Linked DNA regions of Sus scrofa. The protein of the gene in region 3 interacts with the protein of the main gene of each other region in a pairwise test. Links are inferred from orthologs where the notes say so. Each region holds a gene or a part of one and is shown on either strand. Other genes may lie near its edges. The genes, in order: EMP3, PLN, EDA, DOLK, LEPROTL1, MAL and CYB561.

Region 1 (4,446 bases), on a different chromosome or scaffold from region 3:
GATGGTTCCCCTTTATTGTCTCTCTCCCTCACCAAGAAGGTAAGCTGCAGGGCTCGCATCTGTTTTCTTCATTATTAACTCTTGGTTCATAATAGATGTTCAATAAATGTTTGATGAAGAGAGAAATAAAAGTGTTAGGTGTGTTCGTGTACTGGTATTACCTTGTTCGTTTAGAGTAAATATGAGGGGAGTCCCCTCTGTGGCTCAGTGGGTTAAGAACCCGACTAGTATCCATGAGGATGCGGGCTTGATCCCTGGCCTCGATCAGTGGGTTAAGGATCCAGCATTGCCAGAAGCTGCAGATGTGGCTTGGATCCCACAGGGTGGCTGTGGTGTAGGCCAGCGGCTGCAGATCTGATTCAACCCCTGGCCTGGGAACTTCTCTATGCTGCAGGTGCAGCCCTAAAAAAAAAAAAAAAAAAAAAAAAAAAAATGATGGAGTTCCCGTCGTGGCGCAGTGGTTAACGAATCCGACTAGGAACCATGAGGTTGCAGGTTCGGTCCCTGCCCTCGCTCAGTGGGTTAACGATCCGGCGTTGCCGTGAGCTGTGGTGTAGGTTGCAGACGCGGCTCGGATCCTGCGTTGCTGTGGCTCTGATGTAGGCTGGTGGCTACAGCTCCGATTCGACCCCTAGCCTGGGAACCTCCATATGCCGCGGGAGCGGCCCAAGAAATAGCAAAAAAAAAAAAAAAAAAAAAAAAATGAGAATAGGTATCAGAATTGTTATTATCAGTGTTAGTGTATTATCGTATTATTGGTAGTATTGGATCCACCTCCTTGATTCAGAAACTAAGGCTCAGAGTTGAAATAATTGGTCGGTTCTCCAGGTAGGAAGTGGTAGCACTTGGGATTGTTAATTTCCACCTCCTGCCGCCGCTCCAGAGTTGCACACTTCTCTGTTTCCCATCCCCTGATCCCCACCATGGTGCCCAGCCCACCAGCCCTCAGCCCTCTCCACGCTGCAGGAATGTGGCTCCTCCTCCAGCCTCCCCCCCCTCTGAGTGCCCAGTCCCAAGCCCCATCAAGGAAAGACGACAGCGGTCCCAGAGCAAGAGGCCTGCGAATCGGACCCTCCCACCCCCGATGCTGGCCCCACCCAAGGGCCCCAGCTCTGTTCCCTTCCCTCCAAAGATGTCTCATCTCAACCGCGGGAGGGAGCCCCAGAAGATGCCTGTCTGGGGGCAGTGGGTGGGGGCCCGGAGAATGAGGAACCCGAATGCCTGGGCCCTCCCTCTGGCTGCAGACCTCAGCTGGGCGCGGTGAGGCTGGTATAAAAGGGTCAGTATATATATTGAGAGGAGAGAGAAGGAGAAATCCGGAGAGAGAGGAGAAGGAGCTCCATAGACAGTGCGGACGGGACAGAGCGAGGGAGGGAGAAAGAGAAAGGGTTCTAGGATTGGAGGGGAGACGGAGAGGGCGAGAGCCAGAGGGGAGAGCGAGCGAGGGAGGGGGAAGGCGGCGAGGGAGGCGGGGGCCCCGCGAGGGTGGAAGGAGGGAGGAGAAGGGCGGGGCGCGGAGGCCCGAACGAGGGACCAGACGCCGACTCTGACTTTTTCCGCCGCTCTCGGTAAGTTTCCGATCCGTTATTCCGACGGAGATTCCTTTCTTTCCTTGGGTGTGCAGAAGTTTAGAAAGGAGACCCCCAGCCTGAGAGAGACAACCCCCCCACCCCGCCCCGGGCCCCCGCTCAGTCCTCCTGGAAATCCTTGTAATTTAAGAAGTGATCTCTTAGCACTTAAGAGTGGAGCCTTGGGTAGGGGTGGGGCCCGCCAAGGTTTGAGGGTTCCCAGCGGAACAGCCCCCCAAAACCTCCTGCAATTTTTTTTCCTATGACTGAACACTCCCCCTCCCCCCGCCCCCCACAAAGACCCTGAGGTCAAGGCTTTTCGTGAGCATAACCAAAGTCTAAGGACCCTCCAATCCCCACCGCCCTTTCTGGACTCTGAAGGGTCATGGGAGGCTGGCTGCTTCTTCTCCAGCCTCTCTCCCCACTCCCAATACAGATCTTGTCCATTTTCCTACAAGGTGTCCAGCAGACACTGGTCTGGCGACAGGGTGGGGTGGGGACCTCGTGGGCCTAGCCAGGGGCTGGGGTTTCCCTGGTGCTTGGGGTGGGGGGAGATGAGTCATCGGATGACTCACCGGGTCCCCCGTCCTCCCCCCAACCCCTGGAGAGGAGTGGGGTGAGTCAAGGATGCCTGTCTCTGGGGGCAGCCCTGGGCTTGCGATGAATCTGAAAGGGTGGCAAAACGAATTGTCATATCCTGTGCCCAGGGACAGGGCTCGGACGACATGGGGGCCACATTGGCAGTCCTGCTCCTTCCCAGACCCGAGAGTCCATCCCTGACCCCCTCCAGCCTCTGGGGAATTCAAGAGTTCCGGTCCCCAGTCCCCTCCTCCCTTAGACCCAAGAGTCTGCACTATAGTCTCTTCCTCCCTCAGACCAGGAATCGAGGCCTGTAGCCTCCTTTTCCCATTAGACCGTGGAGTCTGAACTCAGCCCCCTTCTCTACCAGGCTTCAGGCATCTCAGCTGCCCCTGTGCCGACCTCTTGAAGTCACTATCTCCTGACGTCCCCACCCCAGACTTCCAACTCAGCCATGTCACTCCTCCTGCTGGTGGTCTCTGCCCTTCACATCCTCATTCTCATCCTGCTTTTCATAGCCACTTTGGACAAGGTAAGCCCACCTGGGAATAGCGGGGGCCCTCGGGCTCTCCCGCAGACTCCAGCCGCCACGCCCCTCCCCTAAAGTCACTCTGGCCCCGCCCCCTTTCTCTAGCGCTACCCCTTCTGAGCGCTGGCTCCGCCCTACCCTCTCCCCTGACACGCCCCCTCCCCTTTCCTACTAAATCCATGCTTTCCCAGTTCGGCTCCCCGGGCACCTTGCCCTTTTCCTAACCCTTCCCAGTCTCCCTAATGTTGCCCTTGTTCCTCTGTCCATCCCAGTCCTGGTGGACCCTCCCCGGGAAGGAGTCCCTGAATCTCTGGTACGACTGTACGTGGAACAGTGACAACAAAACGTGGGCCTGCAGTAATGTCAGCGAGAATGGTGAGGGGCGAGGGGCATGGCAAACCAGTCTGCCAAAGGGAGGGGTCACCCCAAGTCTCCTCCCAGAATAAAGGATTGGGAACCCCCAAAGTTTGAGTGAGTGTCTGGGTCCCCATGCTGAGTGACTGAGGCTGCTGATGTATGATGCCTCACCTATCTGGATGGTCGGGGGAAATATTCTCATGTCCTAAAGAGCATGGGCTAAAAGCCCTGCTCTCTATGATTCACAAGGGATGGAGGCCACGTGGGTTAAGGAATGGGGGGAAAGCTCCCAAGAGTCTGAGATTATGTTTCCAAAGTTCTTAAGGAGACATGACAAGTGTTCTGGAGGGATGGCCCGAATCGATTTGTCCAAATTCCAAGTTGTGGTTTAGAACCACATTAAGGTTCTAAAAAGGTGAGGCTGAATCCTTCCAAGTTCGAAAGAAGAGGGGCCAGATGCATCTGAGTTCTGCAGGGGTGGAGCAGCAGCCATCCAAATTTCTAAGTCAAGGAAAATGAAAAGTCAAATGCGTTTCCCCTAAGAGCAGAGTAAGAATTTCTGCTCTCACCACTTCTATACAGTCTTGGGCTGAAGGTAGACAATGCAACAAGGCAAGAAAAGGAAATAAAAGGCATAAAGATGGAAAAGGAAAAAAGAAAAATGTCTCTCTTCCCATTCAACACGTTTATACACAAAATCCGAAAGCATCTGCAAACAGGAGCTCTCTGGTGGCACAGCAGATTAAGGATCCTGTGTTGTCACAGCTGTGGCTTGGGTCACAGCTGTGGCATAGGTTCCATCCCTGGACCCTGGAACTTCGAATGAGGGTGTGCCCCCCCCAAAGAATCTGCAAATGGATTCTAGAACTGATAAGGGAATTCAGGGAAGTTACAAGAATCAGGTTGCTATAAGTGATACTACTAAGTGTCTAACGTTGTATGGTTCTAAGTGGAAGAAGGGTTGGAAGGAGGCAATGATGAACAAGCTGGTGAAACTGGAACTCTGGATCTGCTGTGACCTCCACCTCTATCTGTTTCTTGCAGGCTGGCTGAAGGCAGTGCAGGTCCTCATGGTACTTTCCCTCATCCTCTGCTGTCTGTCCTTCATCCTGTTCATGTTCCAACTGTACACCATGCGGCGAGGAGGGCTCTTCTATGCCACTGGCCTCTGCCAGCTCTGCACCAGTAAGCACAGTTCCCTTGGAATCAAAGGGAAGGGAGGAGGCCGGTGAGGATGAGGGGTGGTGGGGTGAGAGGGGGTCAGGCTAAGAATGAACATCTGATGAAAGAAAACAATTCTCAACCACCCAAGGACCACCTTGGCTACCTCTCTGCCCCAGGGACTTAGGGGAGTTGTAGTTTTCAGTGGAGTTTGTGATGTGTGTCTCTGAGTCATGGGGGGAACTAGCATTT
Region 2 (4,344 bases), on a different chromosome or scaffold from region 3:
AATATAGAACTGTGGTATTTATGAAAAGTTTTGAGGGGAAATTAACCTGTCTTTTAGGTATCAAAGCTAAGTAGATTAAAGGCATGAGTATTTTAGCAATGTAAAAGGAAACTTTGATTTGATTGTACATGCTACTGTTTTTTGAAATCTGTGCAATTATTTTGAGTTTTGTCTTCAAGGATATACTGCATAGTAACTGAGGACATCTCTAACTTCCTTATATCCCTGGCTCTGAAAATGGCCAGGAGGATATTATATAGGCTATTAAAGACATAATGCCTCATGCAAAAATTAACTTTAAATGAAGTGGTTTTAAATTAAAATGGAAGTTTGTGTCATCTAACTTTGCCTTTTAGAGCACCATTAACAGTATTTGAGGACTTTGAATTTATTTTGTTTTGCCAGTGTCAGGAGTTATTTGTTGATCAGTGGATGGGATATGCTTGTGGTTTAGAGTCATAAAATCTTGGCTTCTGCCAAGGCTCCACCATTTCCTAGCTCTGTGACCTTGGGCAGTTCACCTTTTTGCATCTGTTTCCTAAACTGTGAGAAAGAAATGGAATGTCAAACAAATAGGGAATTGAGAGGATCAAATGAGATATTTTATATGGCGCATTTAGAAAATTCTTCAAGAATAAAGGAGGAGGTTTTAATTGACCCTCTTTATTTCTAGGATTGGTAATAAGCAGTTTAATTTAGGTAATCCTTTACATTTAATTTTTTACTTAAAACTTTTATATATTAAACAATTTGTTACATAAGTAATATTTTTATTTAATACATTAATATTTTAATTCTTTTTGGGGGGACTGTTTCATTTATGCAAAGTCTTCTCTCTCTAATTAATTAGTGAGATTTAAGAAACAATATCAATGTATAACCAAATGTAATTTTTTCTGGAGTATTATTTTCCTTAATGTCCACTGAAATATCGTTAAAGTAATTTTGGTATTTGAGTTTTAGGAAATGATAGTGGCACGACCTCTCTTGGTAAAGCAAAGTACTCTTTCATGTGTTTTTTAAACTTAATTAATTATTCATAATTAAAAAATCTTTCACATTTCTTCCATTTTATTTCATCAGATGCTTTTTTTAAAGCACTTAGTTTTAACCACATGAAACAAGACATTACTTAAATTTCACCTTATGATGGAGATAAACTAGTTGGGACATAATGTCTGGCACTAGGGAATTATGTTTGAAATTTGGATTAATAGTCACTGTACATAATTTTTGTTAATCTGGACACACTGTCTATCTAAGGATAATTTTAATAGCAGAATTTCTGCTCTTTCTGGAAATTACCACATTTGTGGCGTGGTATGCAATGTGAAATTCTGGTACTGTAAAAGAACTCATGAACATTTTAAGTGTGAGAATGTGTGTAATTTGATAGGCATTTAAGTAAAAATGCATAAAAACTGCATATAAAACACCCACACTGAGTGACTTTGTAATATCCAAGGAAAAATATTTAATGAAAATAAAGATATTGATAGGCAGTTAGGGTGCTTCAGTGGGAGACAAAAATTGGAAATGTCTTTGCGTGCCTCAAGGAAAGCTGTTTAAGGAATTAAAAAGTTCTTATCTATAAAAAGCAGTAGAATTAACATTTGTCATTCGAACTTAAAATTCCAGAGGTAATTTTATTTTGACATTTATGTAAAGATAAAAATAATGAAAATCATAATATCCTTTATGCCCTGACTGAAATCTTAGAATGAAGACACATTTTATACATTAAATTGAGGGTTGTAACATCAAGAGTAGAGTAGAATTTAAACAGAAGTTACAAAATTTATGGTGGTATCTCCCTTCTTGGGCATTTTTCATCCTCTCCTGTCCACCCTCTAAGTACAAGAGAGGAAACTGAGAAACACTGGAGGATAGTACCTTGATAAAAGTATATTCATTAATAGGCAGAGTAAAGATCCATTTTTATCAAATTCACTCAAATGAGATAGGAATATTTGTACTGCCAAAATAATGTTTTTTTATTTTTAAAATAAATTAATATTCTGTAACTTCATAAAGAATTTTACATGTTTCTGACAAGTATTTTGAAATGCCCAAACTTATCATTTATGATAGAATATTAAATTTAATAGAAATAACACAATTTATTAAAAGCTTGGATTTTTTTGTAGAAGTTGACTGGACTTTATAGAAAGGAAAAAAAGTCTTCAAAAGCATTTTAAAACTAGTTTGTGCTATTTATTCTTAAACTCCACTTTATTAATATTCACTGTAAGGAATCATAATGATAATATCAGAATACTCATGCCAATAATGTGCATTTTATACAGTCACACCATTGTTCATAGTATCTAGATGTAAACAGACAGCCCAGCCCTACCCTTCTCCTTAGCAGAGTAACATAACAAAATGAAAACATTGTTTTTGTATGGAGAAATCAAATCACCTCTACCACCAAACATGGTAACATAGTTGAAAGATACTTTAATTGGCAGAAATTCACCTTTGAACAGCGGAAATAAAAGTGAAAGTTAAATTAAAATGACAAACCATTAACCAGGATCAAAGATGAATACAGTCTTATTGTTACTATTACTTGAATGGACAAGCATTTATTTAGAAATTAAGCTTTACGTCAGCCAGACATTATCAAACTTCCTACTGAAATTTACCAAGTACGATTAACTCTTTTTAAAAAGTTCTCTAAGTTTGAATTATAGAAAGTAAGAGTTGCCATAATCAGTAAAATCTGTTTCTTACCTTGGCTGTTTATGATGATCACAGTATAGAATATTGTGAGTTGTATGAAGTCTTATCGGTGTTTAGCTGGAAAGTTTTCTGACTCTGTTACCAGAGTTATGGGAACAATTGAAGTAGGTGGAGGGGGAAAAGGGTTATAGGGAGGTCTTATGATGTCACCCAGGAATTCTGAAGTTATGATTGGTTAGCCATAGTCTTATCACAGCCAAACTTTTTAGAATGTCATTTATCTTAACATTAGTTATAGAAAGGTCATTAATACTTTGTGCTTCTTTTTTTTTTTTTCTTTTTTTTAACTTTTAAAATATATGGGAGGTAAATTGAAAAGTTCAGGGTGAATAGAAAGTTCAGAGTGATAGCTGTTTTGTAAAAGTTCATGCATCTTCAGGCTTAGAAATAATTGTAAACTGAGGGTGATAATGTTGAAGAATTAAAGTAATATGAGTTTTAATAGATTGAGAGTAATAATACTGGCTTAAGCCAGACAACTTTGATTGAGTTGTTGCTGTTGCTTTAACACTGCAGCTTCAGAATGTTAGCTTCTAGCAAGATAATAATTAAACATTGTTACAGAATCAAATTTTACACCTTTTCCTGACTGACTGTGTTCTTTTTTCATACCTATGTGTGTATGGGAGAGAGAGTGTGTGTGAGAAAACAAGGATAAGAAGACTGATTTTGGTTTAAAAAAAAATTAGCTTTACCTTACAGTTAAAGTAAGAATAAATATATTTAATTCATTTGTGTTTTCTTCATTTAGAACAATATATTTACTGTAATTCTCATGTTTAAACTGATAGATATTACCCTGGAAAATTCGCTGTTTACAAATTTAAGTACTTAGGATTTTTTAACAGCTGCCTTAAGTTACCGTAAAATCTTACTAAAATTTTAGTAAGCTGACACAGTATCAGGAGTAACTTTGCAGCAGAAAAGAAATAATCACAAATCCCTAATCAGTGGCATCCTAGTTAATGACACTTTATTAACGACAGGTGTGCGTGTGTTTGGAAATTTAAGTAGTGTTTCTAAAAGGGTATGCTCATTTAATGCAGTAATTGTTTTCCTGAAAATTACTATGTAAATTAAATTTTAGTAAATGGAATGATATTTCAAACTTCCGAGAACAGAAAAGTATTCCTTTGAAAAGCCAGGCATCATTTTCCTGTTTTTTTCTAATTTTTTTGTTTATATTTTAGATTTACTTAAATCACCACATCTCAGAATTCTAATTCTTTAAATCTTGCCCATAATTCTGGACAAGCTAATTGTTATTTTTAATTTGTTTTATACTTAACGGCAGAGTGAACTCAGCCTGCTTTACTTTCTTATGGGTAACTAAAATCTTTTCCAGCAGCTGTTTATGTGTCCTTAAATGGAGATGATTTTGGCTTCTTCCAAAGAAAGATAAATCCTTTGCTAGAGCAAACCTCTCGTTATTTAAAGAATCAGCTAAAACTATCAGAGAAATAATATTTCAGCAAAGACCGTCTGTGAACATTGCCAAAGAAAAATTTACAGCTTAAAAGTAAAACCCAAAGTTAAATAAATTGTATGAATGTTTTTTGAGATTTTGCTCAGCACTCGATAGGCATTTTTTAAATCCTT
Region 3 (3,868 bases):
GATGCAGGGGCCTCGCCCAGCCTGATGGCCCCAAAGAAGGTGGTGTGCTTGCTCATGTTGATGGAGATGTCGGCGTGGACCATTTTAACGGCGATCTTTTGCCGCGCTTTGAGGAGGCAGACCCCTGCGGTGTAGCAAGTGTTGTAGTTGGTCTTGCCCGTCTCGATGCTGCGGGTGCACTGCAGGAAGGGCTTCTCATCCACCACTACCTCATAGCTGGCGAAGTCAGTGAAGTTGATATAGTATACCTGGGCGAGAGGCAATGAGATGGGATTGGGGGCCAGCAGAAGGACAGGGCAGGGCCCCCTTCCCCCCTCCCCTGTGACCAACAGAGCGGACCTGCTCATGTGAGCTGCTAGTGCACCTTGAGAAGGGGGCAGTGAGACCCCAAGGCGTACTACTCAGCCAAAGGGACGGGGGAGGCGACAGGCTTATTCACCGTCCTTTGTCCCCACTCCTTGGAGCCCAGGTGGCTGAGCTAACCTTTCTTCCAACAGCACACTGGTGGGAGACTCTGCGAGGGCCAGAATCACACCTTGTTCGCCCCTTAACCTCCCCCAGCCCTCAAACCTCCCCCCCACGCCCCGCCTCCTCAGCCCTGGCGTGAAGCACAGTTCTCCGCACACATTAGATGCTCATCAGTCTACAGACACAAAAACAAATTAACTTCCAATTTCAAGCCCTACAGACTATGTGTGGAAAAACTCAGAAGTTACCACTTGCCCAGAGAGGGCACAGGGACAACTTGCTGGTTCTTTAGCTGGTTCTTCAGCCCTTTCAGCATGCAGCCCCGCTCCCCATAGGCTGAATGTCTCTCACTGATGCTCCTGATGCCCCTTGGCCCTCTCGTCTGATGATTGAGGAAACTGATCCAGAGAGATGGAGAGCTCTCCTTCACAAATGAGATAACGAACATGGAAGGGCAAAAGCCAGGTCCCTAACTTTACTTTGTGGCTGGAAGGAAGTGCTAAGCTCCATTCAATGGCATGGTGTTCAGCCGATTTTCCCACTCTGCATGGGGTCCAAGGCCTGAGGCCACTCGTAATTCTATCTCAGGCCCCCCAAGTTGATTTTTCTCTCCCTTACTACCCTTCTCCATCACACCCCACCCCAATCTTTGACCCCCTGCCCCCACCGAGATGGTACTTAGCCTGAATGGTCCCTAGGACTTTGGGATTACACCCCTGGGGATTGAGACACTCATCTGTCACCCTAAATCACTTTATGAAAGGCTGCGCCCTCCCGGAGTTGTTTAGGAAGTGGCAGTGTATTCGGGTGCCATACAACTTCTTGGGTCAGGACCGCCGGCTGCGCCAGGACACTGGGTGGCCTCAGCAAATGCTGAGAACCCATCTTCTCCAGCCACTCTCCTGGAGACCCTTGTGCTGACTCCGCTGTCCTTCTGTCCATCCACCTGCCTGCCACCCGCCCCACAGAAGCCCCAACCTCAAGGCTCATCCACCTGTACCTCTGAGGAGCTACCCCACTGGAGGCAAACAGCAGGGGTGGAAGTGGATGGGCACTGGGCGAGCTGGGGAGTGAGCCTGGGGCCAGGACAAGGACAAAAACAGAGGGAGAAAAGGGCTGGGAGAACGACAGCAGGAGGGAGGCAAGAATGACAGAGAAGCAGAAAGGTAGAGAAACAAATGGGAGAAAGAGGGAGGAAAGATACACCTTTTTGAGGTGGAGAGAAGGTTCAGAGGAGCACTATTCATTTTAAGCCAGTGATGTGGTGGGGGAGGGGGTTTTAGCAGCCCTGGAACTGACTTGCACAGAATATATTGAGACAGCGTTCAAGTTTGGCAGTAGAGCCAGATAGCATAGCAGGGAAACTAGGGCCTGGGGCCCTGTAGGAGGGAATCAGATGGCAGAGGGGGTGGAGGGGGCCTCCTTTCAGTTTTTCAATAATATCTGGCTAGAAAAAACCCCAGATGGCCCCCTCTCTCTTCCCTCTTTTCAACTCCCTCCCAAGGTCTGTCCCCCTGCCCCCACCCCCAAAGCAGGAAGTTAGCCATTGGCTGATCTTGGCTGGCTCCACAGTGCCCCTCTGTGGTCTGCACCGGATCTGCATTCTGGATATAAGAAGAGTTAGGCCTGAGACCGTACTCACTTCTACCTGACTATAGATGAAGTAGGTGCCGTCCACCAGTACCTCCAGCTCCCCGCTGCGGGGATGTAGCTTAAACACCTTGGGGTTCATGGTGATGCGAGACCAGTCATTGAGCACTCCACCTGAAAGATCTCAGTGTGAGAGAAGGGCAGTCACTCAGTACATGTCAGAATCATCTGGGTAATAGAAAAAAGAAATATCAAACAGTACACAACCTCCACCCCTACCTCAGTGCAACCTGGACAGCCCAGCTTTAAGAAGAGCAATTGGAAGCAGAGAAAATGTTCTGTTTGTAAAGTGGCAAGTAGTGGCCAGGTCTGCCTCGGGCCCCTGGGGTCTGCCTGTCTGTCCTCCTCTCTCCTTTCCTGATTCCCTCCTTCTGTAAGATCTTTAACCAATACCTTCTAGCTGGAATTGGGAGGAGAGTAAGAAGAGGGTGGGCAAGCTGCCCTATTTTCTTTGTTGTTTGGAGGCCTGCACAGGCAAAATCCAGACACTGAGGGGCAGGCTAGGTCTTATTATTCATTTCATTTCACCAGCCATAGCTCCTGGATCCCTCTCCTGTTCATGTTCATAGGTTTTCTCCTTGTCCTTCAGAGATTCCTTTTTATAGTTCCTCCATACCCACTCCTTTTTGGAGCCTCCCTGGGCCCCCAGGAAACCACTCAGCCCAAGGAGTTGTCTACCCAGAGAACTCTAGGGATCAGGGGTGAGTCAGATGTCATGGCAGCCATATCTAGTGATCACCAGGAGTAAGGCCCCATAGGGGAGAAGGATCTTAATGAGAGTGAGACATAGACTGCCACAAAACACTAGAGGCAGCAAAGGGGACAGTGAGGGTGTCTGGGTACCGAGGCACCCCTGCAAAGCATCTGTCCTTCAGTAATAGCCCATTTGGGGTGAAGGAGCAGTCAGTCCATCTTTGCTAGACTGTAGAAGCCAGTGCGTGAGGGTGAGGAAAAGCTTTCCTTTCTATCCTGCAGCAAGGGGCATGTTCTTTCCCATCACAAGAGGAGGGAGTCCAAGCCCATGCAGCCTTTTCCCCTCAAAATCATCCATTTTTGGAGTTCCCGTAGTGGCTCAGTGGAAACGAATCTGACTAGCCTCCATGAGAACACAGGTTTGATCCCTTACCTTGATCAGTGGGTTAGGGATCTGGTGTTGCTGTGGCTGTGGCGCAGGCCGGCAGCTGTAGCTCCAATTCGACCCCTAGCCTGGGAACCTCCATATGCCACAGGTGCAGCCCCAAAAATCAAAACCAACCAACCAACCAACCAACCAAAACCCTATCCATTCTTCATCCAAGAAAATATACATTTTGTTTTTATTTTTGGCCACACCCACAGCATATGGAAGTTCCTGGGTCAGGGGCTGAATCCGAGCCACAGATGCAGGCTGGTTCTTTAACCTACTGTGCTGGCCCAGGGATGGAACCCGCATCACCACTGAGACAACGCCAGATCCTTAACCTGCTGCACCACAGTGGGAACTCCCGAGAAAATATGTTTCAAAAGTCCATCTTTGGCTGGTCTCAGGAGGCCTGCCTTTTTGAGGTATGAGGAAATGGGCCTTCTGGATGAGGTGCCCCGCTTTCCTTTCAGTGATAAGTGGATGGGATAGGAGTTTGGAGGACACGCCCTGGCTCTGCTCCTCATGGAGGACGGCTCTGCTTGACATCTTCCTATCCCTGACCCTCTCACTCCTGCTTTAGGTGGAACGAAAGATCAGCATAGACTACAACTGGGGATTAGCCAGGAG
Region 4 (4,216 bases), on a different chromosome or scaffold from region 3:
GCTTCCCTCTCCTTGCCCTCTCTTTCACTGAAGAACGCGCCTGGCCCTGCAGGAGCTGACCTTTACCCAAGCTCCACAAGGACTGTAAGACAAGCCTAAAAAAAGGAGAGCACAGCGACCACAATGCTGCCCGATACAAGAGCTGACATGAAAAACAGCGGAGGAGAAAAACACAAACTGCTCCAGAAATAGTTCGATGGAAATTCCAGAGAAGAGAAATCTCACTTGAAACTTTACATGATTAAAAAGTATCATCACAATGGAAAAAAAAAAAAAAAAGTCACTTGAGCAGAGAGGCGCAGGAAGTCGTACAGAGAACAAGGGCAATACTTGTCATAAATATTTACTCAGAGCCTATTCCATGCTCTTCGGAGTGTTGAGTAGTAGTGAAAAGCCAAAAAAAGTAGCGAAACACTGCAGGCACAGGGAAGAAGTGACAAGGGGACGGTTAGCCGGGAGGGTGGCCGCGAGAATGGAAGCCGCTTCGAGCTGTAAGTGGAAGATGGAAGTGTGGCGATCTGGTTACAGATCCAGAGGCAGACACACGCCTGTTCGAAGCCTCACCGGACCCCTCCGCCAGTTCTGAGTTGGGTCTATGAGTCATCTATCCGTAAAACACAAGGTGCCGCTCGGAGTCGTGGGAGTTCAAGGAGATAAAGCCATGGAAAAGAACGCGCCTCGCCAGCCCGGCGCTGGTATCGCTCCAGAAGTAAGAACTGTCTCTTTCTTTTGAGTATTTTATCTTCCCGTCCCCAAAGCCCAGTACAGTGCGTGGGGTGTCCGCTGACGGAATCAATACAGGAGAAAATGAATAGATGGATGAATGAAAGGCTGGGCGGCCCAAGAGGGCAGAAACTGCAGGAACGTGGCTCGGCGACGCCCGAAACAGACCTTCCATGGAGAGCACATGCGGGACCCTGGGGAGCGCCGCCGGGAAGGGCCCAGGAGGCTGCGGCGGGGACGGGGTGGGGGCTCCCCGGGCGACCGCGAAGCGCCCCGTCGCGCCTCGAGGGAGCGTCACGCCAGCCAGGAAGCGGGAGGGGGGCGCCGAGGGACGCGCCACGGGGAGAGGGGAAGAAGGGAAAGGAACCGGAGACCGGAGGCGGGCGCCGAGGGAAGGGGTAAGGCACCGGCCCCCTCTCCGAGAAGTCGCTTCAGATGCCCGCGCGCCGAGACCGTTTGGCCGTAACCGCCTCCATCCCGGCGCCCGTCCGCCTAGCCGGCCTTCGCCCCGCCACTGCCGCTACATCGTGCCCTCAAATCCCGCCCCGCTTCCGGCTCGGATTCGACCCGGCGCCTAACAGCCACCCCCGCTGACTCGGCCCGCTCCGCACCTCACACACGGCCCGGTGGCGGCCGCCGCCATCTTCGCGCGCGCGCGCCCTAGCCCCGCCCCCAGACGCCGCGCCCACGTGACCGCTCGCCTCCGGGGCGTGGACGGGGCTTTTCGTCACGTGACGGCGGGCGGGGCCAACATGGCGTGGCCCGGAGCGGTGAGGACTCCCGGGCGAGGGCGGTCGAGTCAGTGAGGGAGTCGGTGGAGGAGCGACACCTACGCTTGAGGTGGGAGACGTTGGAGCGTGACCTGACGCCAGCTCCTTGCCTGCACAGAGTGATCATTCAGTGGCGCTTCCCTTCTGGCAGCAGGAGAGCGGATAGAGAACGTGCTGGCTGGGTGAAGCTACCGCTCTGTGCCTGGCGAGGATTGAGGAGCCCAGAATCCAAGGCATCTCCAGTCACCCGGGTTTCCCCGGGGTCCCAGATCTAGAGACATGACCCGAGAGTGCGCTCCTCCGGCCTCTGGGTCCGGGGCTCCGCTGAGCGGGTCCGTGCTGGCAGAGGCAGCGGTGGTGTTCATAGTGGTACTGAGCATCCACGCAGCAGTGTGGGATCGGTACTCGTGGTGCGCCGTGGCCCTCGCCGTGCAGGCCTTCTACGTCCAATACAAGTGGGACCGACTGCTACAGCAGGGAAGCGCGGTCTTCCAGTTCCGAATGTCCGCAAACAGTGGCCTCCTGCCCGCTTCGGTGGTCATGCCTTTGCTCGGACTGGTTATGAAGGAGCGCTGCCAGGCTGCGGGGAACCCATACTTTGAGCGCTTTGGAATTGTGGTGGCGGCCACTGGCATGGCAGTGGCCCTCTTCTCGTCAGTATTGGCTCTGGGCATCACTCGCCCGGTGCCCACCAACACCTGTGTCATCTCGGGCTTGGCTGGAGGTGTCATCATTTATATCATGAAGCACTCTCTGAGTGTAGGCGAGGTGATAGAGGTCCTGGAGGTCCTGCTGATCTTCGTCTACCTCAACATGATCCTGCTGTACCTGTTGCCCCGCTGCTTCACCCCTGGAGAGGCTCTGCTGGTATTGGGTGGCATCAGCTTCATGCTCAACCAGCTCATTAAGCGGTCTCTGACTGTGGTGGAAAGCCAGGGAGACCCCTTGGACTTCTTCCTGCTGGTGGTGGTGGTAGGGATGGTGCTCATGGGCATCTTCTTCAGCACCCTCTTTGTTTTCATGGATTCAGGCACCTGGGCCTCCTCCATCTTCTTCCACCTCATGACCTGTGTGCTGGGCCTTGGCGTGGTCCTGCCCTGGCTTCACCGGCTCATCCGCAGGAATCCCCTGCTCTGGCTTTTTCAGTTCCTCTTCCAGACGGAGACCCGAGTCTACCTCCTGGCCTACTGGTCTCTGCTGGCCACCTTGGCCTGCCTGGTGGTGCTATACCAGAATGCCAAGCGGTCATCTTCTGAGTCCAAGAAGCACCAGGCCCCCACCATTGCTCGGAAGTATTTCCACTTCATTGTGGTAGCCACCTACATCCCAGGTATCATCTTTGACCGGCCACTGCTCTACGTGGCCGCCACCGTGTGTCTGGCGGTCTTCATCTTCCTGGAGTACGTGCGCTACTTCCGCATCAAGCCCCTGGGCCACACGCTTCGGAGCCTCCTGTCCCTATTCCTGGATGAACGAGACAGTGGACCGCTCATCCTGACCCACATCTATCTGCTGCTAGGCATGTCTCTTCCCATTTGGCTAGTCCCCAGGCCCTGCACACAGAAGGGTAGCCTCGGGGGAGCGAGGGCCCTAGTCCCCTATGCCGGCGTCCTAGCCGTCGGTGTGGGTGACACCGTGGCCTCCATATTCGGCAGCACCATGGGGGAGATCCGCTGGCCCGGAACCAAAAAGACTTTTGAGGGGACCATGACATCTATATTTGCCCAGATCATTTCTGTAGCTCTGATCTTAATCTTTGACAGTGGAGTAGACCTAAACTACAGCTATGCTTGGATTCTGGGCTCCATCAGCACCGTGTCCCTCTTAGAAGCATACACTACGCAGATAGACAATCTGCTTTTGCCTCTCTACCTCCTGATACTGCTGATGGCGTAGCTGCTGCACAGCAGCCATGGAGGAGACAGGGACATGGGGAAGATGAATGGTCCTCACAGCTGCCAGCCCCTTGGGCGGGAAGAGCCCAGGGGTGAGATACAGATTTAATTTTTCAGTCGATTCAGATTTCAAATAAAAATCAAAGCACTCCTGATTTTAGTTTTGCTGATACTTAAAAAGCAAAAAAAAAGGCAGTTCCCGATGTGGCTTAGCGGTAACGAAGCTGACTAGTATCCATGAGGATGCAGGTTTGATCCCTGGCCTCACTCAGTGGGTTAGGGATCCAGCATGTCTGTGAGCTGTGGTGTAGGTTGCAGATGAGGCTCAGGTCCAGCATTGCTGTGGCTGTGGCTGTGGCTGGCTGCTGCAACTCCGATTCAACCCCTAGCCTGGAAACCTCCATAGGCCTCAGGTTTGGCCTTAAAGAGGAAAAAAAAAAAAAAAAAAAAAGGCGATCCTTGGTGGCTCAGTGGGTCAAGGATCTGGCAATGTCACTGCTGTGGCGCAGGTGCTAGTTCAGTCCGTGGCCTGGGAGCTTCCGTGTGCTGCGGGGCATGGCCAAAAAAATATTTTAAAAAAGCTTAAAGGATAATGCAAAAGTTCAAAGAGCTTGTGTGTCTTAGGGCTTCCCTCCCCTAAGTCCTCAGGGGGCTGGAGGGGACCAGTACAGCAGGGTGGTCAACACTTCAGGTTTCTGGAGTCAAACTGCTGGTCAGCATCCTTGGCTGCACCACTTCTTAACTGTGTGTGTGGCTTTATCACTCTGGGCCTCAATTCTCCTGTTTGCCAGATGGGATTAAGAAGAGCCTGCACCTCATGCGGTGTCG
Region 5 (3,868 bases), on a different chromosome or scaffold from region 3:
AAAGCACTGATAATTGTGAGATGCAGACGACCACTACAATTTGATCATGCCTGGTTACTGGGAATTTTTTGGTCAGTTTGTGTCTGAAGCTGCTATGCAGCTGAATTTGGCTATTCTGCATTAATTCACACAATCAAGGCCATTTATAAAAGGAAACAGCAGATCTATGAGGGTGAAAGTAAAAATCAACACAGCTGAGAGGTATACAAGAAACATGTCTTAAATTTTTTAAAATTACATTACGATATAACCTTAGGGAATAAGAAGTACAATGACATGGTCTAAATCTTGAGCTATTAATACATGAATGACATGTTAATCACGTGAAGGCCTTGAAGGCAGGGGTACTCTGAATGTATGGTGTAGCAATCACCTTCCAGGTGCATTAAGCATCTCTAATTTAACGTGTTATTAAATCATACTGGAAAAGTTATTTTACTCAATATATACAATGTATAAAATAAGTTAAAAAGAGGAAGCAGGGAAAGACTTTCTATGTAGGATGCAAACATACAACTTTGCCACGTCAGTAGTAGTCCCATGTGTCCCTTTACTCACATAAGACATTAAAGGCTGAAAGAAGATAAAAATTTCACTTATAAATAGAAACAGGATTCAAAAAACAGAATTCCAATGCTGTTTCTTCCCACAATGCAACTCACTCTACTTTAACTATAATAAACATAAATAAAAACCATATCTCAAACATCTGTTTTCACACCCTACCTTTAACAATAAATTCTTCTAACAATTGAGAATAAAAGCACTCCTCTGTAGCAATTCTGTAAAATAATTTTCAATTCACAAAACACCTGCTTTCTGGCAAAACCAGCAACCCTTATGGAGGGCACTGCATTAATATTTGGCCCCTGTGAGGTATCAATGCAGCTATATTTGCACTGAGAAAAGAGTCTATAAGGTATGCTAATGGTCTGCATGTTTACATAAAATTGGGAGTGATGTCAACCTGACTGATTGAAAAAATATTATTTTTATAACTTTGTGTAGGCATGGAAGTTAAATAATTTTAAGGAAAAAATAAACAACTTTAACCCAGTAACAGCCAGCAGAACTCTAATTCCCAACCAATGCAAATGTGGTTATTACATTTAAATAATGTTTAACATTGTATATTGATTAAACAAAAACTGAACAGGGAAAACACATAAATATTTAAATTCAGCAGGACACCACAGAAAGCATACTAGAGATAAGTGTGAAATCAGTCAAGCTTTTCCAAAAGAGAAAATCCTTTTAATCCTTCAGCAAGTCTCTGAAAATAGTATGCTTACAATGCAAGTGAGCCGGGAGCACCTGAAATGCCCCCGGGAGGCCTGCTGCACTGCTCAGCATCACCGCCCCATCTCCCGTGTGCACTGTCGGCTGAGAAATGACAGGAAGTCCCTGTGACAATAGTTCAGTAACTCCTTTCACCACTGCTGCCAGCTGAAGTCATCGTTGCTTCCAAAGACCAAGAAAAAACCCAGGATAGTTGCAAAGATGACTGTGTTTCCTGTGAGGACAAGTGCACAAGCTCCCCACTCAATCTGTGGACATTAGACAGAAATGCTCAGTTAATAGACAGGAAAAACAACAAGAAATGAAGAGCGAATCAAGGCTCTAGCTGTATTCCAATCATGATCCAAAACAAATGGGACTTGTAGTGATAACTCTGACACTGCAGAACACTTAATGGTACTTCTACATTGCTGTTCTTGTCTAGCTCCAGTTCCTTTAAAGAGACAGAGAGTCATGAAAGATGAATAATTATTCAAAAGCAAGCTTGCTTCCGGCCTATGAGGAGGCAGTGTAGAACTCCACAATTTTCTGTTTACAGATCAATCTGTTCCAACTCTTCCTTAGTGAATCTAAAAATTTTTATCTAGAGAGCAGATTCAATTTAAAGTATCAGAGATGCAGACACACTTGGGGACATTCTTTTAAAGAGGCAGGGGAGTAATTGCCCTCTTCAGGTGCAAGGGTGCCAAGCCTGTCCTCTCTGCAGTCTCTATCTCCCCAGAGGCGGAGGAGTGAATCTGCCTGGGGAGTCCGGGAGGCCCCTTCTACTCTCCCACCTGCAGAAAACACAAGATCTCCAGCCTTCCATGTTTTAAGCTGCACAGGGCAGCCCTGTGGGATGTCTGGCACTGGTTGAGATCGAAGTATTGGCAAGCCAACTCTTGCTGCTAATGCTCCCCAATATTTTCATCAGTTAACAACAAGAGTAAGATTTTAGCTCTTATTCTCTAGGCTCCTATGTCCCTGGTCTCTTTTTCATGTCATTTAACAAAAACCTTTTTTTCTGAGAGAAACTCGACCCAGTCTGATGTAAAATCCTGTGTAGAAAAATGCTTTCACTTACCAGGTGTGCTCTGGCAAATACAATAGGGAGTCCAAAAGCTGAGACCACAATGCCTGTTGTAAGAAATATGGCAAGTTCCTTACAGGCATTACTCATAGCGTCTGTATCATCCACTAATCTTCTTGCTATGCAGTATGGAATAGGTGAAAGGATATAAAAAAACAGAACAAAGAGGGGCCAGTATTGGCTAAAAAAAGAAAAATAAATTAATGTAAGTTTTTGCTATCTTTGTCATTTTCCTACATACTGCAAGGTATAAAATATGACATAGGGAGTTTCCTCATGGTGCAGCAGGTTAAGGAACTGGCATTGTCACTACAATGGTTTGGCACAGGTTTGACCCCTGGCCCTGGAACTTTCACATGCCATGGGCACAGCCAGAAAAAAGAAAAGAAAGAAAAGCTATAATCCGAGCACTGAAAAGAGAAACAATTAGAGTCATAGTATTTTTAAAATTAATTATGATACAATGAGTAAATATTCCTTAAATTATAAGAAAATGCTTTATGAACTGTAACAGTTGGAATCAAAACCCAGAGTAAAAAGGAATTTTTTCATTTTGGGTTATAAGTAAAAAGGCATATGAAAAGTGGGATTATTAATTCAGTAGTTTTTTTTTTTTTTTTGTCTTTTTTTGCTATTTCTTTGGGCCGCTCCCGCGGCATATGGAGGTTCCCAGGCTAGGGGTCGAATCGGAGCTGTAGCCCCGGCCTACGCCAGAGCCACAGCAACGCAGGATCCGAGCCGCGTCTGCAACCTACACCACAGCTCACGGCAACGCCGGATCGTTAACCCACTGAGCAAGGGCAGGGACCGCAACCTCATGGTTCCTAGTCGAATTCGTTAACCACTGCGCCACGACGGGAACTCCTAATTCAGTAGTTTTTAAAATTCAAGATTCATGCCCTTGACTTCTAATATCTTGCCTTAGTCTGAAACTGGAATATCCCCCAAACTTTTCTTAGGTCACTTAGGAACTCCCAAAATACTGAAATCAAAATATAGAAAAAAGGAATTCCCATCGTGACTCAGTAGTTAACTAGGAATCTGACTAGGAACCAGGAGGTTTGCTCATCAGGTTAAGGATCTGGCACTGCTATGAGATGTGGTGTGGGTCGCAGTTCTGATTTGACCCTTAGTGTGGGAACTCGCATATGCTGCAGACGTGGCCCTAAAAGACAAAAAAAAGAAAAAAGAAAAAGAAAGAGAGAGAGATAGCTTTTAAAACTGCCATAAAATAAAATAAACATCATAATGGAGATTTACTTGCACTTAGGGCTCATGATAAGCAAGATTTATCTTTCTTTTTTTTCTAAAAATCTTTTCCTAAATATTTTAAGAATAAAAAATGGAAAGAAGGGGAAAAGCATACCAAAAATACAAAGGCACAAAAAGTGAAAAATCAAGGTTGCCTGTGCCTTGCCTGCTTTCTCCTTCCTACTCTCCTACTGATGTGGATCTTTCCGTATTTCCACATAGATAAACTGTAAAAATGTGAATGAATCA
Region 6 (4,616 bases), on a different chromosome or scaffold from region 3:
ACCACTATGAGGTACCACCTTACACCAGCCAGAATGGCCACCATCAAAAAGTCTGCAAACAATAAGTGCTGGAGAGGGTGTGGAGAAAAAGGAACCCTAGTACACTGTTGGTGGGATTGTAAAGTGGTGCAACCACTGTGGAAAACACTATGGAGATTTCTCAAAAAACGAAAAATAGAACTACCATTTGATCCAGCAATCCCACTCCTGGGCATCTATCCAGAGAAAACCACGACTCACAAAGACACATGTACTCTGATGTTCATTGCAGTACTGTTTGCAATAGCCAAGACATGGAAACAACCTAAATGTCCATCGACAGAGGAGTGGATCAAGAAGATGTGGTACATATACACAATGGAATATTACCCAGCCATTAAAAGGAATGAAATACCGGCATTTTTAACAACATGGATGGACCTAGAAATTATCATGCTAAGTGAAGTCAGTCATACAATGAAACACCAACATCAAATGCTTTCACTGACATGTGGAATCTGAAAAAAGGACAGACTGAACACCTTTGCAGAACAACATTGAAAAACTTATGGTCTCCAGAGGAGACAGTTTAGGGGGTGGGGGGATGTGCTGGGGTTGTGGGATGGAAATCCTGTGAAATTGGATTGTTATGATCATTACACAACTACAGATGTGATAAATTCATTTGAGTAATTAAAATAAAATAAATATAAACAAAAAACAAAACAAAATATAATCGCTATAAATGGAGTATAAACTTTAAAACTGCAAATCTCTATATAGTACACCTGTAACTTATATAACATTGCATATCAACCATACTTCAACAAAAAAAAATCCAAAAAGGCAGGGATCAAGTCTCCTCTGCTCCTGTGTTATCCCTGTGGCCTGGCACTTTATGAAATGGTACTGATGGGGGGACTGAGGGCAGGGGCCTCTATCATGTGTACTGTTACCTCTTCAGTGCACCCAAGAGCTGCTCAGAAATGGGAGCCTGTCCCCACACCAACCTGGATGTAGAAGGACTGGCCTCTACGGTTTGGCCTCTAGGGTTGGGGAGGAGTACCCAGTGCAGGCCTAGCCCAGGTGTCCACTGACTCTGAGTGTGATGTCCCTTTTGGATGGAACTCACCTAGGGAGCAGGGACTCTGTCTTCCCCACTCAAATACCCGCCCTCTGTGTCCCCGTCCCTGCATCACCCTGACAATGCTTGGGGATGGCTTTCTCAGGCAGTGGTGAAGGGCCAAGTCTCCCCAACCCAGGAAACGGGAACCTAGAAGAGGTTGGGAACAAGCAAAAAAGGTCACAAGCAGTGGCTCACTGTCCCTGGAGGCAGCAGGGCACAGGTGCCCCCTTGGCCCACCAGGGCACAGCTCTCTGGTGAGCAACCACCCCCCACCTCTAGGTTTCAAGTGTGTGGATTTTAGGCAGGAGGCACGGAGGCAGTGGAGACAGTCTGCCTTCTAGAGTCAAAGGGCCCGGCTCCTCTCCAGATGGCCTGGGTGTGTTCCTTCCTCACTCTAAACCTGTATGTCTGGGTAAAACTTACCAGAAAGGCTCTGTGGGATTAAATGAGATCGTGTGGGCAAAGAGCCTTTTGGTGGCGCTGGGCACTCCATAAGCCTTCAGCAATGCTGGCTCTCCTCAGCCCTTCAAGGTTCAAGACAGCTGTGGCTGCCATTAAGCCACCACCGGGCAGCTCCAGGAGGAGTGGTGGAGACCCAGGGTGTGGCCTTCAGGCGCTGGGCTCTCTGGGGCGCAGGGACAAGTGTTGGGCGGCTGGAGTGGTCCCAGACTGCCCCTGGAGGGCGGGGAACTCGTCCCACTGTGAGCCAGAAGAAAGACGAAAAAGCCACAATTTAAGAATAGTTGAAGCAATGGTGACCTGAGCGATGCCACGGAGTGGGTTTGGGGGCCTAGTTGCTGTTGGAGATCATTCTTAAGAAGTGGTGATCACCTGCAAAGAGTGATCACCTGCAAAGGGCCTCATCTAAGCGGCTTTGTCCTCCTCCGGTGGCGGTGGTGCCCAGACCTGGGACTCTGAAGTCAAACTCCCGTCCCAACCTTGGTGTGATTCAGAGTTGTGTCTATGGCGCTGGGCAGGTCCCCTGGGGCGCGCCCCACGTTCTCGGATGGCTGCAGCCCCGTGGCGGCGGCCAGGGCTCCTCCCTCTTCGTCCCAGGCGCGGCTGCTCTTAATCCGCGCGCGGTGGCTCCCTGGCCACTGGGCTCCGCCGAGCAAGCGAGCGGTCAGCGCAGAGCCAGAGCCGCGCGCGTCCCGTTGCGAGGCCGACGCCCAGCCCGCGAGCATGGCCCCCTCAGCTGTGTCGGGCGGCAGCAGCCTGCCTAGCGGTTTCGCGGTCTTCATCACCTTCCCGGACCTGCTCTTCATCTTCGAGTTTGTGAGTGGCTGGCGGGCCCCGCGCCCAACCGGGGAGGGCGGGATGGGACGGTCCGAGCCGCTCGCTCTCACCCGGGCTCCGCACAGCGCGCCGGCCCATCCGCCAGCCGCGCGGTCTCCGGTCCCCGGAGCATCGGGTAGAGGGGCTCAGGCAAGGAAGGTGTCTTCCCCGGGCCCACCCCGCAGTACTTTAGCCTCTTCCAGCCAGCGACAATGGGGAAATAGTCTCCAGGGCTTAGGTGAAAAACCAAGTTCACAAGAAGGATCAGATGTCGGAAACCCGCCGCGGTCCACTGTGAGCCGGTTCCAAAGCTGTGCTCGGGACGTTTCCCCTTATAGGAGAGCGACATTCCCGTGGAGGAGTCCAGCTCCCTCCACGGTTAAGATGTTTTTGTTTTTTGTTTGTTTTTTGTTTTTTTTAATTTTAAAAGTCAGCAAAAGAAACCTGAGGATTACCAAGCGAGGTGTGGAGATAGAGTTGGGGTCATAGGAGGAGCTGAATCCGGATTATTCGCTTTCTCAAACGTTTCTGGCGAGTCAACAAACTTGCAACAACTTTGATCTGGAAATAACACAAGAGGCCACGGTCCTGCTGCCTCCCTGCGTGAGGGGTGGGGGAAGGGAGCCGGACCTGGGCGAGCCCTCACCTTCCCTGGCTGACCTTGGGCGGTGAGCCCAGAGACCGCTGCGCCTGCAGCTGGTCCCTCCTTACACCGGAGCCTCACAGACCCCCCTCGCAGGCTGCAGAAAGCGCTCCCTGTCATAGGCCTCAGGCCGCCTCCGCCTCAACTTCGCGGGGCCCTAGGCCCTCCGCTGAGACGGAGCAGATGTGTTTCTTCCGTGGGTGCGGTGCCAGAGACTCCTTTCCCTACAGGCGCACAGCGGAATGGCTGCCTTGGAGAGTCGGTTGCAAAAGAAAATGTGCAAACCCAACTGTTGGAAAATGGGACCCCAGCTTCTCCTCCCCTGATTGGCGAGGGAGGGTGTGAACAGCAAGGGGAGTTCTATCACCCATTGAGGGATGGGTGAAAGGGTTGAGGGGATCAAGGTTGCCTGGTGGCACCATATCACTGAACTTGAGCCAAAGCTGGATGTATCCAGAGTGACTTCAAATCCTGGAATTAGCCAGAATCCAGGAGGTGAACACCTCTAAGCTCAGCCTGTGCCATTTACAGATAGGGCTACCTAGGTCCAGAGTGGAAGGGGCTTGCATCCACTGGTACATTCCTTCCCCAAATGGCTCATCTCTGCACTTCTAGTCAACCCTTAGCCTGAAAATGAACAGGTATTCTAAGTAGTAAGTGGCTTCTTTTGAGGTTATTGTATTTATAAATGCAGAATTTGGTGACTTTAAGTGATGAGGGCTAAAGGTGACGTGAGATGGAGCAGAGAGATTTTTAAACAAAAGGACTTCCTAATAACTAAATCACCCTAATGAGTTATTTACTCCGCCATTGTAGCCGGAGCATTATAACAAGAATCATGAGAGAGTTAACTGGGTTCATGCAAGTCTTGTGCACCCTCCTCCTCTGGCCTTGACCTGAATGGAACAAAAATATGCATGTCCACAGCAGCACGATTCAGAATAAGCAACAGGTGGAATCAGCCCAAATGTCCCATTTGCAGGTGATTGGATAAACAAATTGTGATAGTCCATGCAATGGAATACTATTCAGCTGTAGAAAGGAATGAAGCACCAATACATTCCACAAGGCTGATAAACCTGAAAACAAGAAGCCAGAAACAAAAGGTCACACAGCGTATGATTCCATTTATACGAAATGTCCAGATTAGGTAAATCTATAGAGATAGAACACAAACTGGTGGTTTGACAGGGACTGATAGGAAAGGGAAATGGGGGTCAGCTTAATGGGTATGTGGTTTCTTTTTGGGGCAAGAAAAATGTGTTGGACTTAGAGGTGGTGGTTGCACAACATCATGAATGTATTAAATGCCACTGAAGTGGACAGGTTTTGTTTTTGTTTTGTCTTTTTTAGGGTCGTACCTGTGGCACATGGAGGTTCCCAGGCTAGGGGTCTAATCGGAGTTGCAGTCGCTGGCCTACACCACAGCCACAGCAATGCTAGATCATAACCATGTCTGCGACGCCCACCACAGCTCATGGCAACACCAGATTCTTAACCCACTGAGCGAGGCCAGGGATAGAACCTGCATCCTCATGGATACTAGTCAGATTCCTTCCCACTGAGTCATGATGGGAACTCCTGAACTGGACA
Region 7 (4,427 bases), on a different chromosome or scaffold from region 3:
GTTAATTGAACCTGAGGAGGGGGTTGTGAGAAGCTCTGATCTATAGCCTGTTGGTCAGTGGCACGGGTGACAACCTGGGCTTGCAGTTGGCATCTGATGGGGGTGGAGAGCAGTCTTGCGGGACTGAGCCCTTAACCTGTGGGATCTGGCGCTGTCTCCAGGAAGACAGTGTCAGAACTAAGTTAAATTGTGGGACACCAGCAGCATCTGCTGAGACGAGACATGGAGATTCCCTCGGTGGCATTGAGAACAAAACACAGCAGAACAGCGTGATGACTCAACATGAGGCTTTAGTGTCCTGTACTGAAAACTCACATCCTCAATTCCCTTGGGAGTCTGAACCCCAGTGCTGTTTGCACTCCCACGGTGGCAGGACTGGAGAGCACAGCTCCTCACAGCTGTGAGCCCCCTCTGTACTCAGCACTGCCGCACTTCTCTCTTGAGTCTTTGCAGTAACCTGTGATAGCAGGAGCCTTACCCCAGTTTGCCCAATGAGAAAAGTGGGACTCAAAGAGGATAAATGACTTGCCCAAAATCATCCACAGCAAAGAACTGCTCAACTCAGTTGCTTATGGAGCCCCTAAGATATGCCAGCCACGGGAGGAAGCTAGAGAAGGGGCTCATGTATATCCCTACCCGGCCACCCTCCTTCCTGTCAGAGCACAGGATGGGGATGTCAGATCTTTAGCAGCCTCTGGAACTTTAGGCTGTGTGACAGTCACTCCTCTGCTCCCACACACACCTGCAGTCAGATTCCCTTTAATGCAATCAGACAGGGCCATGAGCTGCCGTAGGGCTTGGACGCGCCAAGCATCCCTCTCCCTCCCTGTGCCCACAGAGTTTCATTGAAAGGCCACTGGGCCTAATCTTATTATGGGGACCAGACACCAAACACGTCCCACAGCCTGGAAGCAGGGAGCCTGGGCTGGCCACAGCCCTCCTTATCCACAGCAGGGTTTTAATTGAGTTAGAAAAGATTGTGTTGGGGGTTAAGATGTTTTTTTGATGGGTAAAGGGGGGAACAACTAATTATCCTAGACTGTCCTTGAATATGATGAAAGAAAGGGCAAAATGAGGGCTGAGCTGTTAGGTGGGGCACTTTCTTATCACCCACACCCAAGCAACCCCCAGGAAGAAAGCAAAGCTTCAAGTCAGACACTACGCTCACTTCTCTGCTGGGTCCAGGGCTCCCCCCAAAAATGCCTTGATTTTTGTTAAAATCATAAGAAAAAACAAGCTTCTTGGGTTAAAGAAGATATTTTAATTTTTAATCCAGCCTGGATTGTATTTGTCTTTATATCAGTGCAGTTGTAAAATATTCTTTTTTTTTTTTTTTTTTTTTTTTTTTTATGAAGGAAGGGGAAAGTCACAATGCAGCCCTGATCAGATGGATGTGATTTCAAAGCCAGCCCCACTGTTCATGACTGTGTTCACCCAGGTGAGCCAAGTGCCCTCTCTGAGCCTCTTCCACAAGGTAGGAGGATGTTGAGATCCACTTTACTGGCCTGTAGCAAAGATTAAGCAGGATAAACATATACCAGTGCCTGGCACAGTGCTTGCCACACAGTTCACGCTCAATTACATAGCAGTCTAACAAAAACTAAATCTTGTCCTAAGAGTACCTTAGGAAAAGTCACACATCAGAAGCTGTTGACATGAGGTTTGGGACCACAGAGAGCCAGATGGCAGCAGATAGCACAATGACCCCCTCTAATAAATCCATAACCCCCCTTCTGTCTACTGTGAATCCCCGCACTGAGCAGAAACCCCTGGATCAGGGTGAATTCCTCCTCCAAAGCCTTCTAGTGCTGCTGGACCACCTGGTGTTAGAAGCCGCCCGAGCTCTGCTTGCCAAGGGCAGGTGGCGCAGGCAGGGAAGCAGTGGGCCAAGCAAAGCAGTCACTCAGGTCCAGGAGGCTCCTCCTGTGGGGGTGGGGCGGGAGCCCTTTCTCTGCATTGGGCTCCCCTTGGCATTTACAAGTTGCCTATTTTCTGCCTCAGTCCAGTTTCACAAGAGAAATCAAAATATCTGTGAGACCGTAGCAAAGTTTTGTGGGTTGTTTTGTTTTTCATTTGCTATGAAAATGAAGGAAGAGAATCCAGATGGAGCTTCATTTAATGAGTTTTAGAAAATCCTCAGACAGTCTAGGTAGAATGAGAGAAGAGAGGGGCAACCAGAAGGGAAAAAAGACTTGGGAAGGGTGCCAGCCTTTAAAGACCTGTGTGGGACTCCAGAGTTTACATGGATCCTCCTCTGTGCGGTGCCCTGGGGGAAGGGCAGGCAGAGAGGGGAGGTGGCCCTGCCATTACCCAGGAGTCAAAGGCAGCAGCAGATGGCTTCCTCAGCTCAGTTCTGCACCCCCTGCACCCAGCGTTCAAGAGCCTACCAAGGAGTAAGGATTTCTGAAATGAGAAACTCCTCTCACATTAAGAAGCTGGGGGTGTTGGAGAACAAGGAAGGGATCTACTGGCTAAACTCCCTACCCCACGAGGAAAGGGGCAGAGGAGGGAGGCCCTGCCACTATAGCGAAGCAGCGCAGTTTCAGGTTTCAAAGGAACAGTCGTAGCAAACGTTGGTTGATTCACGTCTACGCTACCTAGTTTCTAGGTAGCGGAGGGTCCATACATAAACTTGGAGTCACATGGTGCTGTTGTGACTTGGGCAGAGACTCCGCACACAGGCAGACCCGGGGCGGACGGCTGACAGCTCCAGGAGGGAGCGGGACGCGCTCTTTAACCTCAGGCCTTGCTCCGCGGCCCCCGAGCCGGGGAAGCAGGTGAGGTGAGCAGGTGTGGCGGCCGGAGAGGGGAGGAGAAAAACTGGCTGCGGCGTCAGGATCCTGGCCCGTCACTGCGCGGGCGCGGTCCCTCCCGAGGCAGGGCACACCTGAGCCCGCCGTCCCCCCCCCCCCCCCACACATACCCGGACCCCGTCCCGACTCAGCGCGGGGTCTCGGCTCGCATTTACCCTCGCAGGCCGCCTACCTGGCCGGTCGCCGGGCCCAAACCTCGTCCCCGCCGATCAGCGCCGCGCCACCAACTGGGCGGCGAGCTCCCAGCTCTGAGCCAGGGCTGCTCTACCGGTTCCGCGAGCCGCGCCGCCCTCCGCGCTACCGCGTCGCCATGGAAACCGAGCGGAGGGTTGGCCGCCGGGCTCGCTGCGCGGCAGGCGGGGCGGGGACCGGAAGTGCCCCTGCGGGTCCGCGCACATGGGACCCGGCCCGGCACCCCCTAGTCCCCGGTCAGGGGGCGGCCCCGCCAGACGCCAAACTCAAGCCCTGCCGCCCGCGTGGTACGGGCCACGGCGCGAGAACCTTGGCAACTGTGTCGCGACCTGCAGACCGGAGCTCGTGTAGCCTTCGAATCCTGGCCTCGCGACCTGGCTTCGGGGTCGCGCCACGTTCGGGGGCATATGGGGTCTGCGTCTCCGTGGGTGTAGGGAGCTTCCTAGCCTAGGCCCGGCTTCTCCCGAGCAGGGCGGGGCGGGGGCGGGACCCAGGGCCGCGGGAGGGGGATGCGGCCTGGCCTCAGCGCTTCCAGTCTCCCTCCTCTCCCTCCCAGCTTCTTCCCTCTCCTCTCCCTGCCCCGCCCCACTCCGCCCCGCGCTCAGGTGGCCGCTAGGTGTCAGGCGCGGCCTGGGCCTTGGCCCGCGCTCTTGCGGGTCCTGCAGCCCCGGAGGAGCCCTTAGCCTCGCAGCCAGGAGGGAAGAGGTGTCATTGTGCAGGGAGGCCCGACTCAGCCCTTCCCCAGTTCCGCAGCGCCCCCACGCACACATTAGGTGACGTTTTGCCCGCTTTTCCCAAGCCTGGGACCTTTTCCTGACTCACTGCTCCCCCTCCCACCCTATCCCCCACAGCCTAAGGATAAATACCAGTTCTCACCATCCTTTCCTGAAGGCCTAGACCTTGCCATCCATCGGTAGCCTCCCCAGCCCCACCCACTAAGAGAGGAAGGGGCCAAGGCCAGGCTGGGGGCCAGCCCCTACAGCAGCCCAGTCCAAGCCTCCTATCCAGGAAATGCTGTGGGTAGATAACAAGTCCAGCTCAGACCTCGTACAAGCTCAGAACAAAAGGTTCTTTCCTGTCGGATGCCTGGCAAGACTCACCAAGGGCCTGGCAGAAGTAAGGAAAGGGGGCTTTCTCTCCCCCCCCAAACATAAATGAGCCTCAGCAAAAGGACACCCCTCCTCCACCCCCACGCTCCTCCCCCTCCCCTAGGGCTGCGTGCTTCCCATGAGCCTGGCTGATGGCTCCCAGAAAGCCCTGGCCAGGGTGGGCCTTGGGGAACCAATACCCCCTTACAGAGAGAACAGACTCTTAAGGGCATGGCAAGACACCAGGGTGCCCACTAGCCTGGGCACAGCTCCAGATGGGGCAAACCCAGCTGGGCCCACCCCCTCAGAGTGACAGAGCTTAAATCCTCCACAA

What was found.
Region 1: the proteins of EDA (region 3) and EMP3 interact in binary tests that used the Homo sapiens proteins (3 or more experiments, as listed by UniProt). The two-hybrid records come from large-scale screens. The link is inferred for Sus scrofa from reciprocal best matches to the Homo sapiens genes EDA and EMP3.
Region 2: the proteins of EDA (region 3) and PLN interact in binary tests that used the Homo sapiens proteins (3 or more experiments, as listed by UniProt). The link is inferred for Sus scrofa from reciprocal best matches to the Homo sapiens genes EDA and PLN.
Region 4: the proteins of EDA (region 3) and DOLK interact in binary tests that used the Homo sapiens proteins (3 or more experiments, as listed by UniProt). The two-hybrid records come from large-scale screens. The link is inferred for Sus scrofa from reciprocal best matches to the Homo sapiens genes EDA and DOLK.
Region 5: the proteins of EDA (region 3) and LEPROTL1 interact in binary tests that used the Homo sapiens proteins (3 or more experiments, as listed by UniProt). The two-hybrid records come from large-scale screens. The link is inferred for Sus scrofa from reciprocal best matches to the Homo sapiens genes EDA and LEPROTL1.
Region 6: the proteins of EDA (region 3) and MAL interact in binary tests that used the Homo sapiens proteins (3 or more experiments, as listed by UniProt). The two-hybrid records come from large-scale screens. The link is inferred for Sus scrofa from reciprocal best matches to the Homo sapiens genes EDA and MAL.
Region 7: the proteins of EDA (region 3) and CYB561 interact in binary tests that used the Homo sapiens proteins (3 or more experiments, as listed by UniProt). The two-hybrid records come from large-scale screens. The link is inferred for Sus scrofa from reciprocal best matches to the Homo sapiens genes EDA and CYB561.

What each region holds. Positions count from the first base shown.
Region 1 is NC_010448.4:53,756,475-53,760,920, forward strand, and holds the start of EMP3 (epithelial membrane protein 3), read left to right. Parts: upstream 1-1,301; 5' UTR 1,302-1,568; intron 1,569-2,517; 5' UTR 2,518-2,601; coding exon 2,602-2,679; intron 2,680-2,948; coding exon 2,949-3,051; intron 3,052-4,077; coding exon 4,078-4,218; intron 4,219-4,446. UniProt on the Homo sapiens protein: Probably involved in cell proliferation and cell-cell interactions.
Region 2 is NC_010443.5:43,456,116-43,460,459, forward strand, and holds the start of PLN (cardiac phospholamban), read right to left. Parts: upstream 2,811-4,344; 5' UTR 2,737-2,810; intron 1-2,736. UniProt on the Homo sapiens protein: Reversibly inhibits the activity of ATP2A2/SERCA2 in cardiac sarcoplasmic reticulum by decreasing the apparent affinity of the ATPase for Ca(2+).
Region 3 is NC_010461.5:56,095,718-56,099,585, reverse strand, and holds part of EDA (ectodysplasin-A), read right to left. Parts: intron 2,242-3,868; coding exon 2,111-2,241; intron 249-2,110; coding exon 1-248. UniProt on the Homo sapiens protein: Cytokine which is involved in epithelial-mesenchymal signaling during morphogenesis of ectodermal organs. Functions as a ligand activating the DEATH-domain containing receptors EDAR and EDA2R. May also play a role in cell adhesion.
Region 4 is NC_010443.5:269,256,713-269,260,928, reverse strand, and holds DOLK (dolichol kinase), read left to right. Parts: upstream 1-1,444; 5' UTR 1,445-1,772; coding exon 1,773-3,389; 3' UTR 3,390-3,543; downstream 3,544-4,216. Other genes in the region: nucleoporin NUP188 homolog, read right to left, coding at 1,335-1,366. UniProt on the Homo sapiens protein: Catalyzes CTP-mediated phosphorylation of dolichol, the terminal step in de novo dolichyl monophosphate (Dol-P) biosynthesis. Dol-P is a lipid carrier essential for the synthesis of N-linked and O-linked oligosaccharides and for GPI anchors.
Region 5 is NC_010457.5:54,919,550-54,923,417, forward strand, and holds part of LEPROTL1 (leptin receptor overlapping transcript-like 1), read right to left. Parts: intron 2,550-3,868; coding exon 2,363-2,549; intron 1,548-2,362; coding exon 1,431-1,547; 3' UTR 1-1,430. UniProt on the Homo sapiens protein: Negatively regulates growth hormone (GH) receptor cell surface expression in liver. May play a role in liver resistance to GH during periods of reduced nutrient availability.
Region 6 is NC_010445.4:46,239,346-46,243,961, reverse strand, and holds the start of MAL (myelin and lymphocyte protein), read left to right. Parts: upstream 1-1,694; 5' UTR 1,695-2,068; coding exon 2,069-2,380; intron 2,381-4,616. UniProt on the Homo sapiens protein: May be involved in vesicular trafficking from the Golgi apparatus to the cell membrane. Plays a role in the maintenance of the myelin sheath, and in axon-glia and glia-glia interactions.
Region 7 is NC_010454.4:15,435,455-15,439,881, reverse strand, and holds the start of CYB561 (cytochrome b561), read right to left. Parts: upstream 3,069-4,427; 5' UTR 2,986-3,068; intron 1-2,985. UniProt on the Homo sapiens protein: Transmembrane reductase that uses ascorbate as an electron donor in the cytoplasm and transfers electrons across membranes to reduce monodehydro-L-ascorbate radical in the lumen of secretory vesicles.